Linked DNA regions of Xenopus tropicalis. The protein of the gene in region 1 purifies or fractionates together with the protein of each later gene. This does not show direct contact. Links are inferred from orthologs where the notes say so. Each region holds a gene or a part of one and is shown on either strand. Other genes may lie near its edges.

Region 1 (4,566 bases):
CGCAGTAGAAAGAAAAGCCACACTTTAACAACAACAAAAAAAAGCAGCAAAAGCAGCTTTTTCACTCTACTGCACATGTGCCGGCCCTGGGATCCAGATGATAGAAGAGAGAAGAAGGAGGATCGCTGGCTCGCAGCTACTCTGGGCTGGTGTGGTTGTGGTGTGGAGCACCAGCCAGGGGTAAAAAGGTAAGCAATTAAAATCACTGGGAAGGGGGGGATGGGAGGCTGCTTCAATATTTAGCCATAACTTTGTAACAATGCAAAATTTTAAAAAGCTATAAATTGCCTAGACTTTATATTTTCAATAGTATAGAAACATTTTTCATGATTGTTCCCCTTTAAGGATGTAGATTTTAAAGATCCCTGGTGTAATGTGGGAGTTTATTTGTTTGTGATTTTTGTGTTTCAGTATGGATAGTTGTCAAAATCATACCTGGTAATGCAGCATGAATGTTTCCATCTGAACGCCCATGAACTTGGCTTTCACCTCAAAGTCACCAACTTCATCTGTGGGAGCGATTTCAAAAATCACGTTCTTGAATCTGCACAGGAAGAAGAATAAGGAACCAAATGACATATAGATGGCGAATGTGATGATGTCTGTCACAGAATGATGTATGGGTGTGCCCCAATGGCAGTTTATGAATAAATGATGCCAAACTGAAGGTTAACAAACTAGTATTTAGTACATTTTAAAAGTAGAAAACTTAGAGAAAATGTATATACATTTTCTCTAAGTTTTCTACTTTTAAAATAACTATCCACATATTTACCCCAACTTTTTCCACATGCTCCTTTCTGCTCACGTTACTTAATATGAAACAGGGGAGGGAAAGATTAAGTAGTTAAATCTGGATTATACTAATTCATTTCTAACTGAGCTAAAAGCTTTATGTTTATTTTAATACCATCTAATGCAGTATACATCTCTAATACAGATTTAAAAAAAAAATGATGCAATCTTTGAAAATGGCAACAGAACTAGGAACCTGCTGTGATGCAATACCCAGAGGGAAGGCAATATGGCTAGAAGTGGAAGATGGGTGTTGCTCAAGGCAAGGGAATATAAATTATGTAATTAAATGAAGACTGGATTTGAGAAGCTGCATTTTAAAGAGAGATGCTACTACAGAGAGCAAGACTGTAAGTAAACAAGTCATGTAAACTGTTACAGGGACTTGGAGGAATTTGTGATGCAATGATAAACCTCTGTAATAAAGAAACGTAATTGAAAAATGTTTATACGTTTAAAAGTTTGTGTCAAATTCAGCAGCAGCTGTATAAGAGGAGGATAACAAATCAAGCAGGTGCATGTTATGGTATGGCACATCTTCACCACTGGGCATACTCAGGTTTTTGAATCTAGATGCAGCCCTATTATACCAACAAGGTAAAGCTTGTTTCAAGGCTCAGATTTCCTTACATACATTATAAAAATATTCTCCACTCTCCAAATTTGCTAAAATAAGCATCTAAGTAATATTCTTTAACAGAAACTTGTTTGTTTCTAATTGCAAGCATTGCACTGCATACAAATAGCTACAGTGGTGCTTTGTGGTACTGAATCTATACATATTTGTACTCAGAACCCACAAAATGCAGTGTGTATCCTTGTTGTCCTCATGCAAACCAGGGAATGTAGCAGCCAAGTAATGAGTGATCTTCCCCTTTGGGGCAACCAGTTCTTGGCAAATATATTCTTACAACACTGTTTACATTGTAAATGTCTTATTCTATAGTACAACAATTTTTTCTATTGCCACTGTCAGAGTCAACAGAACTTACTGATTTGCTTGAAGGTCCTCAATTTCTAGCAGTACCCCTTTCTCATGCAGCCGTGCCGCAGAGTATTTCAGTGATATCTTTTTACTCTTCTTCCCTTTAGCTTGGCCTGGTTTCTTAGACAACCTGGTGTAACGGTAAAAGATGCAAAAGTCATCTGAAAACATAGAACAGCAGCAAAACTATGTATCCAAATTTAAAAGCATAATAGCTATTCTTCCATAAAAGTGAGTCTGATGTAAACCTAATAATGTAGATTCATAGAAAAATTGCTTTTAACAAACCATGTTAAAAGCCAGAGAAGGCAACCTCCTCCATCCATGCTGTCTGGTTTCTAATTCATTTTATTTTTCTAATTTTTATCTTATTGTGCTATGAAAAAATAACAAAAAGCTTAACGAAGAAATGTTTTTCTATATGGACATGTGTTTGCTGACATTTAGCCATACTGTATTAACAAGCTTAAGCAGCATTTGCTCTCAAACACTTACTTGCGGTTGCTTGCCAAGTTGTCCATACAGGTTTTGATATAACTCTTGTAATAATCCACTTGTTCCTCATAAAATAAAGCCTTAGAGTTCAACGCTGTGTGTGTCTGCTGCAGCTTCACAAGCTCTGCCTTTCGTCGCTGGCGGTATCGCCTTTGATTACGGATATCCTATATTGCAGAAACAAGAATTAGACAGAAATGCCTACTGAAGACTATACTTAGGGTTTTGTTTACTTATACAATGTAAAATATATAAGTTTCAAACATTTGTCTTTACATCTGTATTTGATTTAAATAATCCTTATTGGATGCAAAACAATTCTATTGGATTTAATTAATGTTTTATTGATTTTTTAGTAGACGTAAGGTATGCAGATCCAAATTACAGAAAGACCCCTTATCCGGAATACACTTGGTCCCAAGCATTCTGGATAACAGGTCCTATACCTGTACTGTCCAATTTGGTCATCATCATAGGGAGAGCTGTGGCAACTCTCACTTTGATATTTGCAGATGCCTGATGCGCATGAGCAGATATAATCTCACTGTAGACACACCAGAATCTGTAGGGATTGCAGGCCAGTTAGGGATATGTGAATAAATAGTTGGTAAGGGTCAAGTGAGCCATATTTACTCCCCAACTAAATCTGTGCATGGTTGAAACAGTGTTCAGTTGTTGCAGTTATGTTGCAATATGAACAACGACACTTATTTCTAGAAACATATAAAGTTTATTTAAAGGAGAAGGAAAGTCTAAAAACAACATGAGCTCAATAACTTAGCCTTAACACAGTCCTTAACATATTTCCTGAACTCACCGTGCTGTTGCTTCATCTGGCTCTGACATGGAAAAGTCTTGTCAGTAAATACAGTACCTGCTCTAAGCCTGTGCAGCTTCCTGTCTCACTGAACACAGATTGTCCAGGACACAGACATGCTCAGTGCACAGCAGAGAGCTCCGTTTTTTTTTTTTTTCCTCACAAGCAGGGGGGAGGGCGGGCTGCTGCTGCCAGGGAGATTGTTTATGGAGGGGGAATTTGTGGAGCTGCAGAAACTTTCTAACAGGAGCAGGGAGCCGGCTTGTACTTTTCAGCCCATTCAGACATGCTGGATAAGATGGCGGCGCCGTTCACTGAAACAAGCATGTAAGTTCTAGCATGTGTATCTTTGTAAATCTTTCATTAGGCAAGCCAGGAATATAGCGATTTTACACAGCAGTAGTAGTACTTTTTAATAGTGTGCTTAATAGATTTTGCCTTTCCTTCTCCTTTAATAAACCTTGGTTATTTTAGTTATTCCAATGGTAGAGAAATGCTGAGCTCCCTTATTAGGCAGCCCTATGCCACATAATCCAAAGACCATTGCAGCAACAGCTTGCCTTCTCATTTCCCTCAGTATAGCCCACCTCCTTCACTTTCATTGATTAATGCACTACCACTGTGCTGCTTCAGGGGGCACAATTTCTGATGATTTAGCATCAGCAAAGGCAAAAAAAATATTTTTTTACTGACGGTAAAGCTGCTATTGATACCATGGTTCTTATAATAATAGTCATTAAGAACTAGTTACATTAGCTCAGCAACCAATGCTACAACTAGCAATGGATTTAGCCATTTACTTGAATTTAAGGAGAACCACTTATGAAATACTACCATTTGTAAATCCTCTTTATTTTCTGTCCAGCCAATACAACCATACCATTCCATGCTATCTAATATATACTCATGTCAATTTACCTTGGCAATGTCATTGATGAGATCCTGGTACCGATTATCTGGATTAACCAAACCCATTTCTTCAAGCTTTTTTAAACCGGCTTTTATCTTATCCTTCTTTTCCTGAAGGGTTAGGTTGCTGTCTTGCCTTAGGCTCTTAGCGGTTTTCATCTTATCTGGGGTTTTTGCATCTCTCATAGCTCTCCTCTGCATGGCTCGCAGATGATCTGACTCCTGAATTAGGACAACAACACAAGTTGTAGAGCACTTGCTGGCAGATGCTTCCACATTTGACAATAGAACAGATGCTGATTACATTTCAAAACTGCATTTTCTCACATACAAAGTACAAAATTAACCTGGTAACTTACACTTGTCAAACACCTACAATTATTATATTTAATGTATACAAAAGGTGCACAAATATCCATCTCTGACTACATAGCCGCACTTGGCTTTTTTTTTTTTACCTGTTCATTGGTTGCTCGAGTTTCTAAGATTTCTGCCAAGGTTTCTCCAGGCTGGAACCGAATAACATCCACAATGAGGCGTTTTGTGCTATATTAGGAAGAAAAAA
Region 2 (4,699 bases), on another chromosome or scaffold:
TAAAAAGGTGTAAAGAAACATTAGGGCGTTAAAAATATATAAAATATCTATAAAAATAAGCCAACCCACTCATTAAGACAGTGCTACAAATTCACTCACCAAGGAAAGAAGGCTGGAAGAGTGCTTCTGGACATCTAAACCGCTCATTACCAATGGTGATAACTTGTCCATCAGGCAGCTCATAACTCTTTTCCAATGATGAAGAAGAAGCAGCTGTGGCCATCTCCTGCTCAAAGTCCAGAGCAACATAGCACAATTTCTCCTTGATATCACGAACAATTTCTCTTTCAGCTGTGGTGGTGAAGCTGTACCCCCTCTCAGTGAGGATTTTCATGAGGTAGTCTGTCAGGTCACGTCCAGCCAAGTCCAGACGCAGAATGGCATGGGGTAGAGCATAACCTTCATATATTGGCACAGTGTGTGTTACACCATCACCTGAGTCCATGACAATACCAGTGGTACGACCAGATGCATACAGGGACAACACAGCTTGGATGGCAACATACATAGCTGGAGTGTTAAAGGTCTCAAACATGATCTGTAATGGTTGAAAAGGCAATTAGCACATTACCTGCATAAAGGCATCCAAAACTCATGCATGTGTAGTTTCAGAACAGCATTTGATTTTGCTGCACACAACACAAATTTAGGCAGGGCCAATGTGAGGAAAAACACAAGCAAAGTGAACTTTGAAAAACAAGCCATCATTCAGCACTTTTCACACAACGCTAACATTGTTAGTATTCTACCCTTGATGTAAAACAGGCAAATACTGAAAAAAAACCTTTGAGATTCCAGTAAACTTTGAGGCCAGGACAGCCCTGTAAGGAATAGCAATTATATAATTAAAAAACAAAAAACACAAAACAAAACCCACAACCCAAACCCTCACACCAGAAAACAGGTAACATACCTGCGTCATTTTCTCCCGGTTAGCTTTGGGATTCAAGGGTGCTTCTGTCAGCAGCACTGGGTGTTCCTCTGGGGCCACTCTGAGTTCATTGTAGAAGGTATGATGCCAGATCTTCTCCATATCATCCCAGTTAGTGACAATGCCATGCTCAATAGGATATTTGAGTGTAAGAATACCTCTTTTGCTTTGAGCTTCGTCTCCTACGTAGCTATCTTTCTGTCCCATTCCAACCATGACACCCTAAAATAAAGCGTAAGACAATTTGGACTAAATTAAGTAATTTAGTAAATGAAAAGCATGCCTTAATTCAATACTAGCCAGACAATGGAATGAATAAAGTGGATTTTCATGGACCTCACATAATGCAGACTTTAAGAGGAAATTCTAGAGTAAAAGCTCTTTTGGGCAGGGCCCTCTAATTTCGTAATACTTCCTGTCATCTTGTGCTTACAGGAAACAAGAGTATGCAAGAACATTTGCTATGTTAACCACGCCCCTGTGTATTTCACAAATAAACAGAAGTAGGCAATTTGCAAAGAATATGGAAATGTAGTGTGCAAAGTACAATATATATATCATATTAAATATCTATATACACACACTTAACCTGCACTTAATTAAAATATTTTTCCATTTAAATTAAACCACATTACACTCTGAAAAGAAATTCTTTTCATGCAGGGTTGGAAAATGTAACTGGCTTTAGCACTTACACAGCATAAGTCAATAAACAGGGTTTGTGTGGACAGTATAAAGAGTTTATTTTAAATATGCCTACTCCTAGTTTCAGCCTTGCCGAGAAGTGCCCAAAACCAGCTTAAAGGAATAACCGACACAAGCCTAGGGCACAAGAGTTGGGGGGTGCCCTAGGCACAGCTATTTATGTGATTATTCCTGCCTGCAGTGTTTATTTGAAAGAGTAAAAAAAAAAAAAAAAATAAAAAAAATTGCATCATCTTATGCAACACTTTTTGGAAACTATCCTTACGTGTATGGTTTAAAAACACTCAATGGCAAATATATTGTTACCAACATACCTATAACCCATGCAGAATTGCAGTTTTATTTGCCCCCAGATTAGTTTCACCTTTAACAGTTAAATACATAAAAAAAAAAAAAAAATGTTTTACCTCCTTGGGACAACACACTGATTTGTTAGAGGTGCTTTACTAGTTTTATTTCTAGGTTTTATTTAGACATGAAATGAAAAAGGCATGAAAAGGGCATACCTGATGTCTTGGGCGACCAACAATGGATGGGAAAACAGCACGGGGTGCATCATCACCTGCAAAGCCGGCTTTGCACATACCAGAACCATTGTCAACGACCAGTGCAGCAATATCGTCGTCCATTGTAATCTGAAATTTAAAAAATAAATAAAATTGAGATAATTATCCACCCAAATTATGAGCGCTGGTATATACCACAAGGACGCTTCCTGCCCATTACTTGCATTTCATAAGGTCTGTCACAAGAGGGCGCAGGGGTTTGCACCATTTCTGTACAGATTTAGACAAAGGGAAATCGATTTATTTTCTGTATTACCAAATAAGGCAACAGCAAAGATTTACACAAGCACCCCTCCCATCCAGCCATGGATAGTGAAGGTGTGGCAAAGAAACAAGTCACTGCTGGTATTAGGCAATCGAACCAACCGACTACCACTCCCAATGTTTCATGAAGGCAACACTACAGGACAGAATCACATACTGCAGGTGTGACTCCGTTTTTACCAGTGCAAGGACAAAATAAATATATAAGATGTAACTTGCGCTTTTGTATTCTAGTTACGGATATACATGCATATGGAAAGTCTAAACCGAAGCGGGAGAGAACTACCGCCAATATATTTTAGACAGCAAAAGGCTGTTCCGACACAGATTGCATCACACACTTATACACAATATGTAGCTTTGTGTGCAGCCTCACACTAACATCGGCAGGGAACCGCCCAATCGCACATCCCCAAGCGGCGCTGCTATTGGGGGCTCAGTTTACAGAAGAGGAAACGATACAAAAAAAAAACAAAACCCTATTTTTAAATGCAACTTACAAGTTAAACCTGCTGTAACAGAAAAATGGTTCCCCAGCTCTCCAGTATGTACAACCTACAACTTCCAGTGTCCTTTATCAATTAAGATCTAATTAAGCATATAAGGAACTGAACTTTAGCACAATTCCAGAACCAGGCTTCACGCTTGTCTACTAACAAGTCTTACCTTCAAGTAAATAACGCTACATTAAGCTACCAACTATTTCAAGCACATTATGAAAAACATAGCCAATTAGAACCAAATCATGCTTATTCTAATAATATATAGAGAAAAATAGGCGAATAGAAGCAGGAAATAGCAGAGGAAAAGCACAACAATAGCAGGCTCGGCGCTACTTGCCTGAGAGTACGACACACACACTGTCCTGTTTCTGTGCGGGCGGGTCACTGAGCAGTTGTCGGGCTAGGGCGCCGGTTTTATGCTGCGCGCCCCAGCCGGCTGCACCATATAAGGAGCGTTCCAGGAACTGGGAAGCTGATTGGCTGTAGGAACTGCGGGCGAAGGGGGCGCGTAGAGTGAGGCAGTTACACCTACTAGCTAGGATGCGGATACGTATATACACAGATACGTACATACATAGATATCAATATACATATATATGTTTCATTAAATCTACACTTAGATATACCACGCCTTATCCTTTCCATTAATTGCTGTATAATAAAGGGCGCGGTGCAGAACTCTTTCTTTTTATATTCTTTATTGGCCTGAAATGATTTACTCTCTTAAAACATGGCTTTGCAAAGCAGATAGTCTGCACGTTTATGTCTGCAGAAATGTCAGGACCAAATGCAGTTCGTTAGGATTTCTGCAGCCTGCCGAGACAGTAAGCTTTGTAACGTTACAGTGACGCACTGCATTGTGTTGCGTACAATCCATGAATACAGTGACTCGATTGCACTTCTTGTCTCTAGCGCCAGCATATTGTGATAGTGCCTAGTTATTTCTTCATGTATGGCTGTGTTGTAAGGGAAAGAAAAGTATCATTATAGCACATATTTCCTTATATAAACACTTTTAAATCGCCTTCCCTGCTCTGAGTCAGCGATACTGCTCTTTGTCCATACTTCCATTTCCTATGCAGGTCAACCATTTGTTATTTAACTTTACAGTTTACAGCTCTACAATGACCTCTGGTACTCATAAACGTATTTATTGGTTAAGCTGATACTGTCGAAGATCATCCGTCCCCCTGAGAATAAAATGCAACGTATGTAAGGAAAAAAAATCTAAACTAATCTAAAGTAAAACATTTGGAGCCCCATGCAGTAACTGGAATGTGAGCTCCCCAAGTAACCAACCCTCATATCAGCAAAGACCAAGTTTATCAGCAAAGTCTAAGTTTACTATGACTATGACCTTCCCTGCCAATCTCACTCATATGTTTTTTGAAGCCTGAAGAACATGCTTTTTCACCCAGGTGCAAAAAAAAAACAAAAGAATGCAAGGGTCAGCAAATTTAGACCCTCCTTTAAAATGGAAAGAATGAATGCCCCCCCAGCGAGGAGGCCTGAAGGGGCAGGTGTCTTAGGCCCTCTTCATCAGGTCTAGGGGAGTCCTATTTATCCCCTACCCTGAAGCCAAAAGTCCTACAACTGTAGTGGTCTATAGACTGTCCTTTACCTCAGCTAGATAGGATCCCTTCACAGTTGTGGTTTCACAAAAGCTAGGGGTAAAAGAGCTTAATAGCCAGATGTTAGAGCTGGAGACCTGATTGGCTCCAAACGTGAAA

The links. The genes of interacting proteins can lie anywhere in the genome.
Region 2: the proteins of iqgap1 (region 1) and actb purify together in Homo sapiens (affinity purification with mass spectrometry; 4 studies listed by BioGRID and IntAct, with this or other methods). This does not show direct contact. The link is inferred for Xenopus tropicalis from reciprocal best matches to the Homo sapiens genes IQGAP1 and ACTB.

What each region holds. Positions count from the first base shown.
Region 1 is NC_030679.2:106,845,633-106,850,198, forward strand, and holds part of iqgap1 (ras GTPase-activating-like protein IQGAP1), read right to left. Parts: intron 4,548-4,566; coding exon 4,460-4,547; intron 4,224-4,459; coding exon 4,011-4,223; intron 2,443-4,010; coding exon 2,276-2,442; intron 1,911-2,275; coding exon 1,788-1,910; intron 545-1,787; coding exon 436-544; intron 1-435. UniProt on the Homo sapiens protein: Plays a crucial role in regulating the dynamics and assembly of the actin cytoskeleton.
Region 2 is NC_030685.2:46,572,212-46,576,910, forward strand, and holds the start of actb (actin, cytoplasmic 1), read right to left. Parts: upstream 3,333-4,699; 5' UTR 3,307-3,332; intron 2,272-3,306; 5' UTR 2,266-2,271; coding exon 2,143-2,265; intron 1,154-2,142; coding exon 914-1,153; intron 539-913; coding exon 100-538; intron 1-99. UniProt on the Homo sapiens protein: Actin is a highly conserved protein that polymerizes to produce filaments that form cross-linked networks in the cytoplasm of cells.